Danio rerio: one gene and its partner. The protein of the gene in region 1 interacts with the protein of each later gene in a pairwise test. Links are inferred from orthologs where the notes say so. Each region holds a gene or a part of one and is shown on either strand. Other genes may lie near its edges.

Evidence for each region. The genes of interacting proteins can lie anywhere in the genome.
Region 2: the proteins of map1lc3a (region 1) and retreg3 interact in binary tests that used the Homo sapiens proteins (3 or more experiments, as listed by UniProt). The link is inferred for Danio rerio from reciprocal best matches to the Homo sapiens genes MAP1LC3A and RETREG3.

Annotation. Positions count from the first base shown.
Region 1 is NC_133186.1:28,686,338-28,690,362, reverse strand, and holds the start of map1lc3a (microtubule-associated proteins 1A/1B light chain 3A), read right to left. Parts: upstream 2,809-4,025; 5' UTR 2,728-2,808; coding exon 2,688-2,727; intron 1,040-2,687; coding exon 984-1,039; intron 1-983. Other genes in the region: dynlrb1 (dynein light chain roadblock-type 1), read right to left, coding at 3,610-3,653. UniProt on the Homo sapiens protein: Ubiquitin-like modifier involved in formation of autophagosomal vacuoles (autophagosomes). While LC3s are involved in elongation of the phagophore membrane, the GABARAP/GATE-16 subfamily is essential for a later stage in autophagosome maturation.
Region 2 is NC_133178.1:35,948,903-35,953,215, forward strand, and holds the start of retreg3 (reticulophagy regulator 3), read left to right. Parts: upstream 1-1,511; 5' UTR 1,512-1,857; coding exon 1,858-2,102; intron 2,103-4,313. Other genes in the region: tubg1 (tubulin gamma-1 chain), read right to left, coding at 384-432. UniProt on the Homo sapiens protein: Endoplasmic reticulum (ER)-anchored autophagy regulator which exists in an inactive state under basal conditions but is activated following cellular stress.

The sequences.
Region 1 (4,025 bases):
ACATTATATGCTAAATGATTATAGATCAATATTTTCTAATCATTTAGCATATAATGTCAAAATGTTAAAGTAGAACATTAAAGTAGAAAGTTACTATGCTTTTTATGTACAGTGCTCAGCATATACGAGTACACCCCCCACAAATGTCTGATTTCAATTAATATTTTCTATAGGATACTGTACAATATTTTATTTGTGCATATACATTAGTTTATTCAGTACTGAAGCCATAGGAGCCTTAGGAACTTTTACAAAAAATATATACAATTTTGTTGAAATGTTGTAGTTTGTAATTTTTTTTTGCAATATTTTGCATTAATTTAAATATATTATCTTTTCATTTCTAAATATGTTCTGTGACTGAAATATTATTTTTAATAAAAATATCTGTTTAATTATCGGTTTTGATCAAATGCACCAATATATATTATCCATATGCACCGAGAAATGGGGAAAAAAATTTCGCCTCCAAAAATTTTCAAACTGGGGAGAGAACTGTATATAAAAATCACTTATACTGAATTTGATGCAGATGACAGAATGGAATGTCTTGTCTTTGAAATATATTTCCTAATATATTTCACTAAAGATAAAGATTACAATAAAAAATTAAGATTATTTCCTAATATATTTTGATATATTCATATAATGGTTTAGAGCTGTGGATACATAGAACAATGTATTTTAATATTACTTATTTTTATATTTCCAAGGTCTAGAAATCACACTTTAAAATGATTGATGCTTTGTTAAATAAATGCAGTATTTCTAACTGCTTTAGCTTCATCTTTTCTTTTTCAATAATTCTAAGTCACCCCAAGGCCCTCATAGAAGTTGAAGCCCATTGTTTTAGAGTAATAAATTTCAGGATCTTAAAAGAAATCCGGAGCTGACAGGTAAGTGACATCTTGAAAGCAATAAGGCTAAAGCAATAAGTCTAAATTCATTTATGACACTTGCATAAAACAAAACTAGTTTCTCACCGGAATTTTATTAGGATGCTGCTCTCGTATCTGCTGCACTTCCTTGCAACGATCAGCTGAAAAGACAAAAAACAAACAGAAATTTGGTACACTTCTGAATAATATACATTTTACAGTCCAAATTCAAAATACACAGTAAGTATATTTTCAAGACTCATTCCTGAAAACACTGTAATCACTGCATTAGCATTTGCTGAATTTGCTTATGTCAAACCTGTTTAGCAGAAACGCTCAATAAACATTCCTAAAAACTTGAGGAAAAATAATTGCGGATGTGTTGTTTGACATGCCCTACTCTACAAACCTATTCCACCATAATGTACAGTATAACAGACAAACAAACATTAATTTCTGTTAAAAGGTTTAATATCTTTTGTTATCACTCTGAAAGCTCAACAATGGTTAATCAACGCATTTGCATTATTTAAATAAACTACACGTTTTAATCTTGTAATTAAAATTTACAAGATTTGCATTTTTAGAGACATTGTCTGTTTTTATTCCTTTTCTATCATTTATTTCTCATCTGCTGATTATTTTATTAATTTATGTTAATATATTACATAGGCTATTTTCTATACATTTCTAAAATGCTTTGGCATTCGAGTTTGCTTTGAACTTGGAGTGAAAGAAGCAGATTTTACCTGTCAGAGGGTGCAAATGGCTCCTGAATAGTATAAAAGTAAGAGAAATAGTGGATTTTTTTCAACAGTCTTTTTACTTTAAGCCATTGAAAAGAAACTGTATAACAATGTCATAATAAATAAAATTGTAAAAATTAACTTATGTTTTGTTTGTCGAAAATCAATATCTATTTAAGTGATGATGTGGGTAACTTGTGTTTCATTCTGGCTACCACTGCAAGTATATTTCAAAGTAAAACTAAAAAAAATCCAGCTTGCTTATCAGGGTAAGCTTCCTAACTTGTGTGTCATTTTTACTGATGTCATGTCTGGGTCATCCGTGTCAATTGTATAATCCCAAAGGCTGGACAAATATAAGACTGTATGCAGATCATATTGACCCGGACTCTTACAGATGTGTTTGAAACAGCAAATCTATGTTGCACTTGTTATGTTTAGGAAGATTATGCAAGGGTTTTATGCTCCTCCCTCCCCACACCCTGTCCACAGTCTGGACTATGAGAAAGAGCTCATATTACAGCATCATATCAACAGCACGTGTACAGTCCATCCTTTCCTTCAATGTTATTGTCAAACAATAAATATTCTAAATATATAAATGCATCATTTACACCAAATGTAACAGAAAAACACTACTGTCAAAAAAAAGAAATGTTGATCTCACATTTTCACAAAGCTGGTAAACAACACATTTATCTAGCTACATATCTGTAACTATATGTCATTCATCTATGTTTCTAAGTAAAAAGTTAAATATAAGGTTATATACGTATTTACAAACACAACAGTTGTAAAAAAAATAAAGCTGATAAAATTTAAACACAAGGCCTATAAAAAAGCCCAAGCTAGCTTACTGTTTAGCAACTGACCTCTGTCGGTTTTTGTTAAAAACTGTCATTTAGACTTTAATATTTATTTCTATAATCGTCTCATAAGCATTTAGAGCTTTGTAGAGGAATGTAAACAGTGTGTCACGCAGTTGCTAGCAGGCTAGGGACAAAAACAAACCTGATAAACAAATACACTTCGGCTGACAAGGCACGAATAAAACTCATCTTACCGAAGCTCCGTCGTTGTTTGAAGGGTCTGTCGGATGGCATAACTGTGCTTGAATGTGGTTAAAAGTAGTTTAAAGGGTTTGCGTGTTATTATATGCTGAATTGTCGGTCGACTCGGCTTCTTTTCGAGCTCCTGACTCACTGTAAGCAAAACAGCTCGAGACAATATACTAAAGCTCGTGACGTCATCAGATTTAAAGAGACAGAGTCCTCTTTAAATGAATAGTTTAACCAAAACTAAACATTTACTCAGCATTTGCTTAACCTCAACTGGTTTTAGACTATTATGGGTTAATATTTCCTATTAAATGAAATAGAAGATATTTTGAAGAATGTTGGAATCCGGTAACCATTGATATCCATTGTAGTGGGGAAAAATGCAAAATTAAGTCAAGAGTTTTCAACATTTCTAAAAAATATTTTCTTCTTTTGCGATCAATTTAAATTCAAACAGGTTTTTGCAGCCATTTACAAGAATTATTTTAAACATGAAATCATTTTCAATTCTCTATATAAACCTAAACTAAATTTATATTATGGCAAAAAACAAAGCACCTTTTCCATTCAATATGAATACACACAGCCACAAAAAGTAATAAAAGGAAATACATTGTTGTTTTATTGTCCTGTTAGCATTCACAAACAAGTACAGTATGTAATAGTGTCATGTTTTTGCTTTTTGATGATGAACAGTTTGGAGTACTTGCAAAAATGAGAATGAGAAAACAATAAATTAAGTATATGGCAAACTATTGGAATGATAAGCAAGAGCAGTACAAACCATATTTTTATAATAGGATAAGAAGCAACTTCCTGTAATGTTATGTGGTTAATAGTACTATATAAACCTCACTGAAACATTAAATGAAACACTTTTGGCCTGTAATTACAGAAAAAAAAATACTTCAGAAGTACTTAGAAGGACTACTCTGTGGGATTTTGAATGACGATCAGGAAATAGTCCTTGTCTGTGGAGAAAACAGAGTAAATATATGATTAATTTCTGATCATTACAATTAGTTGATATCAGATTTATATAGCACATTACAGAATAATACAACACGCAAATTGGTTTTTGTAAAGATAGACTTGAATGTACAACATTATGGCATTTATAACAAAACATCAACCCCTACCCTAACTCTAAACCTGTAAACAGTAATGTAAAAATATTAATTATTGTTATACAGTGTCATTAAAATTGCTGCTATATTGATGTGCATATCGCACTTCTAGCCAGCAGTGTATCCTATTTCTATCTAGACTTTACCCTAAATCAGGGCTTTTCAAAATAAGGTCCGGGGGACCCATTCAGTGAAATGTTCAGAGAAAAGGCTTAA
Region 2 (4,313 bases), on another chromosome or scaffold:
CCACCTATAAATAAATACAACTCTATTCCCGCTTTCTAAAACGGCCAATGTGACTAAATTGACTAATGTTAATTAACGTTACTACAAAGCAAGCATAACGTTAACTTACCACGTTTAGTTTTATTGATTAGGAAACACAAACAAAGAACAGACAGTAGTGTTAAATGGAAAATAATGAAAGTACTTGGCTTCCTGCAGCTGAAAAAATACTGTAAACAATCAAACCATCTTCTGATCTTATTTACGTTGCTTATTTATGGTGTCGTTTTAAAGCTGTGCAGTGTGATAACGTTAGCTGGATAACGTTAGCTAGCTAACGTACACTGTTTATGTAAAGATGGCTCTTGTTGGCAAACAAAGCCTAATAAAGGAAAATGGCTCACTCTGGTTCCCGCACTGTCCGAGCTGCAGGGTGATGATTTCTCGAGGCATCCCGTCCTGCTGTTATTTCAGCTGTACGATCAGTAAATGTGAGAGACGTTCTGCTGTCAGTCAACCACTATGCGTGTTCCCGCTCCAACAGCAACGGCCTATCGGACGCCCACTGCGCATGCGCAAACTCCGGCAACTTTACAAATTTAAAGCCACTCTGTAATCTAACTAGATCAATCTTTGTAAGGATGGAACAAAATACGTTTTTATGGAAAACAGCAAATATGTAAAAGAAAAAAGACATAAACGTAGAGGGCACTACCGACGTATTTCAAGACGTATGTATGCGTTTATATTGAACAACATCAAAGCTGCGCGTCAGTTACGCAGAATTTTGCAAGCATAGAATTTCTGGTCAGGTTTAAAATGCAGTTTATTTATAACATTTCTCCGGGCAACTTTTTTTTTAACCTCCTAAGATACTTACAATGGGGATATACATATAATTATTATTTTTATTTATATATTTAAATAACTATAAATTTTGTAAATTGTAAAGAAATTATTAAACTTTTTTGTAAGAATTTAAAAGGAATGTGTCTTTTTCTCTATCTATGTAGTAATATAAGACGCATAAGCAGTTTTATTAAATTAAAATATGTATTTTAGATCTTATTCTTAGTTACTGTCTTATAAATGAGATTGTAAACTGCATTCTGTACTATGAAAAAAAATAGTCCTAAAACTTTTAGAATTATAGTTTTTTACTGCAACTGAAATTAAATCTCTCCTGAAGAATGAATGTTGACTTTTAAAATAAAAAAATATTTATATATTCCTTTTTAAAATACATAAAATATTTATCTAATTCGCCTATCCCCCAATTTACAAGCATACACAGTCTAGTAATATCCATCTACGATACATCTGTTTTATTTATTATAAAAACTAACATCAAACTGTAATGCATAAACAAGTTTAATAAGCGAATAAAGCATGGAAGGAGATAATCTGTAAGTGTTGTCTGAACGATATGTGAAGTAAGAGCCTTTACTTCAGTGGTGGGTGTTGGTTGTTGTTTAGCAGCTCTGCCTGTAATCCTGGTCTGCCATTGGCCAGATCAAGCCCGTCCTCCCGTCAGTCTTCGCTGTTGCTCCCGCGACAAAACAACGACTGGATATGACCATAGATATGACAGCAGCACGGTGACAACATTAAATTCGAGCCGAGCTGATACTTAAACGTATTAATTCAACACATTCGTGCCCAATAATGGGTTTTAACTCTCAGTCACTCCGTGTCAACAACGGCAGCCTCTTGAACGCACGAGGTCTGCCCACTGCTGCTCTGCCCTGAGCGGCTTCAGGCTAATCGGCTAGCTCGCTAACCAAACCGTTTCTTTAGCACGAGGGTTGTTTTTAGCGTTACATTATTGTACACTTTGTTGGTTTATCTACAGACACTTTTTTTAGAGACACGTTGAGTATGGCGGGTGGGGCAGAAGAAGCGACAGAAGCGAGCGGTTGTGCAGGGAGGCTGCGCTCCAGCGGCGGCCTCCGGAGCGGTTCGTGCTCCGGTGGGACATCCGAGCAGCTCCGCGCGGTCAAAACAACGCTGCTGGAGCGGTTGGGGCCACACGAGCGCCTGCTCACCTATTTGCAGTCCGTTTTGTTGTGGGAGAGACCCTTTCACAGCGTCCTACTGTACACGGCTGCCAACGTCACGTTCTGGTGAGTGGATGAGCTTTATCTGCATGGATTTATCTGACGTTATCTCGGGCTCTGTTTACAACCCAGTGCATACAGTTGAAGCGTTTACATTATTAATGGGCTTTTTGAGGATCTTGTATAGTTCTTTCTTGTTTTCGATGGATGTATATACGTGTCTGGTTGTTCCAGACTTCTGCCCCTTTTCTTTTAAGATAAGAAACAGATGATGGTCAGGCTAGGAGACTATATTTAGACAGAGCTCTGGCTGTGTTGGTGGTGGTGCTACTGTAAACATAATGCTGTCCGTGCAACAGTTTGTTATTTTGAGTTTAGGTTTAACATTCAAGTTCAACTATTAAGCTAAACTTTGAGTTTGATGCAATGATTTTACTAATTCATGTCAAGCTAGGATATGTTTACAAGAATTTTCTGAGAACAATCTGTTGAATTGTTTGTGTACTCTATATGTTGTTGAATAGCCTGTATTCCCCTTCCTACTGTCAGTATAGGCAGGAGATCACTATGACAGAGATTGTGCAGATCTCCACACTTAATTGTGGTATTCATTCATTTTCTTTTCTGCTTAGTCCCTTTATTAATATGGGGTCGCCCCAATGGAATGAACCCCCAACTTATCCAGCATATGTTATATGCAGCAGATGCCCTTCCAGCTGGAACCCAACACTGGGAAACACACACACACTCTTGCACATACTCAGTATAAGGTTCTGAAGGTATGATAACCTTGGATAAAAATATCACAGTTATGCGGTTTTGTGATTACTGCTCTATAATATATTCTTTTTAAATTTCTGGGTAAAAAAACAAAAACTCTTTTCCCTTTAAACAATAAATTTTAAGAGACATTTATGATATTTTGGAGTAGTAAATATGTCAGGTTAAATAGTTCAAATACATTTAACTTCTGTTGTCTTAATTAGTTTCAAAAACAGATTTTTTTTCAACAATTTAAAACAGCATCTTTGAATATATTTTCTGCTGGAGATAATGTTTTCTTAAAAAACAAAACAAAAAAAAAGTAATAAAAAATCGTACACGTACCTTAGAAACAACATTGCAGAAAATTTTGATGGTTTTAAAACCTTGTCTTTTCCAAACTGCGGTGTACCTTGAAAATGGTTATCGTCCCATACCTAATATTGGCATACACTAAGGCTAGTTTAGCTTAATTAGTTCAAATTGTGTTATTCAAATTACATATTTAATTGTTGATATAATTGAATGTACATGATTTACTATAAAAACTATAGTTATTTAATGTTATGAATGAGTATTACTAATTAAAACTAATGGGTGTTTGATAAGTTAATTTTTGTTTTATTTTGTCCTGAATGATAACATTCCTTCCACATTTTAAGTATGTATTTTAAATGCAAAGCAATCAATGTACGTGATGTGGGTAGTAGCATCTGTTAGGTTCCTAAATGGAAGAATTGTATTCTGCTTACAGTTTTTTCTGTTCCAAAATAAAGTATTGCCACTGTCTCATGACATTTCAACCTTCTACTCAAACAGGGTGTAAATCTTTTTCCAGGTCATGTGATTTATTTATGTAATCATCATCAAAGAGCATTTGCCACACACACAGAGAGATCAGTAGGATATATATTAGTTCCCAAACCAGTTGGATGGGCCTGGTGTGATTTTGTTCATGCCTTAAATATTGTTACTGGCCATCCTAACTTGGCAAACCATGTGCTTTCAGTACATACTTAGCATTTGTGTTTCTAAGATCAATATACATCAAAAAGAACCCTATATACTTCTGTGATGTATGAGCAATTCCATGCAATGTCAACCTTGTCATTAAAAAAATATTTTTACCAAAATAGCAAAACCCTTTCTAAGTTATTTGTGTAGGCTTGTATTGACTAAAAATACTCAGAAATGTCTCTGCCGATGTTCTCAAACAATTATATTTGATTTACTAAAGTCACACAAGTGCAAATTTCACATCCATAATGGAGAGACGTCACATTTATAACAAAGCTTTTTTCCTCATAAATACAAAAATGTTTAAAAAAAAATTGTAAAAGGATGTTAATAACCGTACAAAAAATGTGTCACTATACTTGGCCGGCCATTAATATACCTGGGCAGCCTGCCCAAGTAAAGTCTATGTGTGGGAAGAACTGCCATTCAATTAAGTCACAGTATTATTTTAAATAATGCATTGTAAACAAATGCAATGTAAACAAAACAAAATTGGCA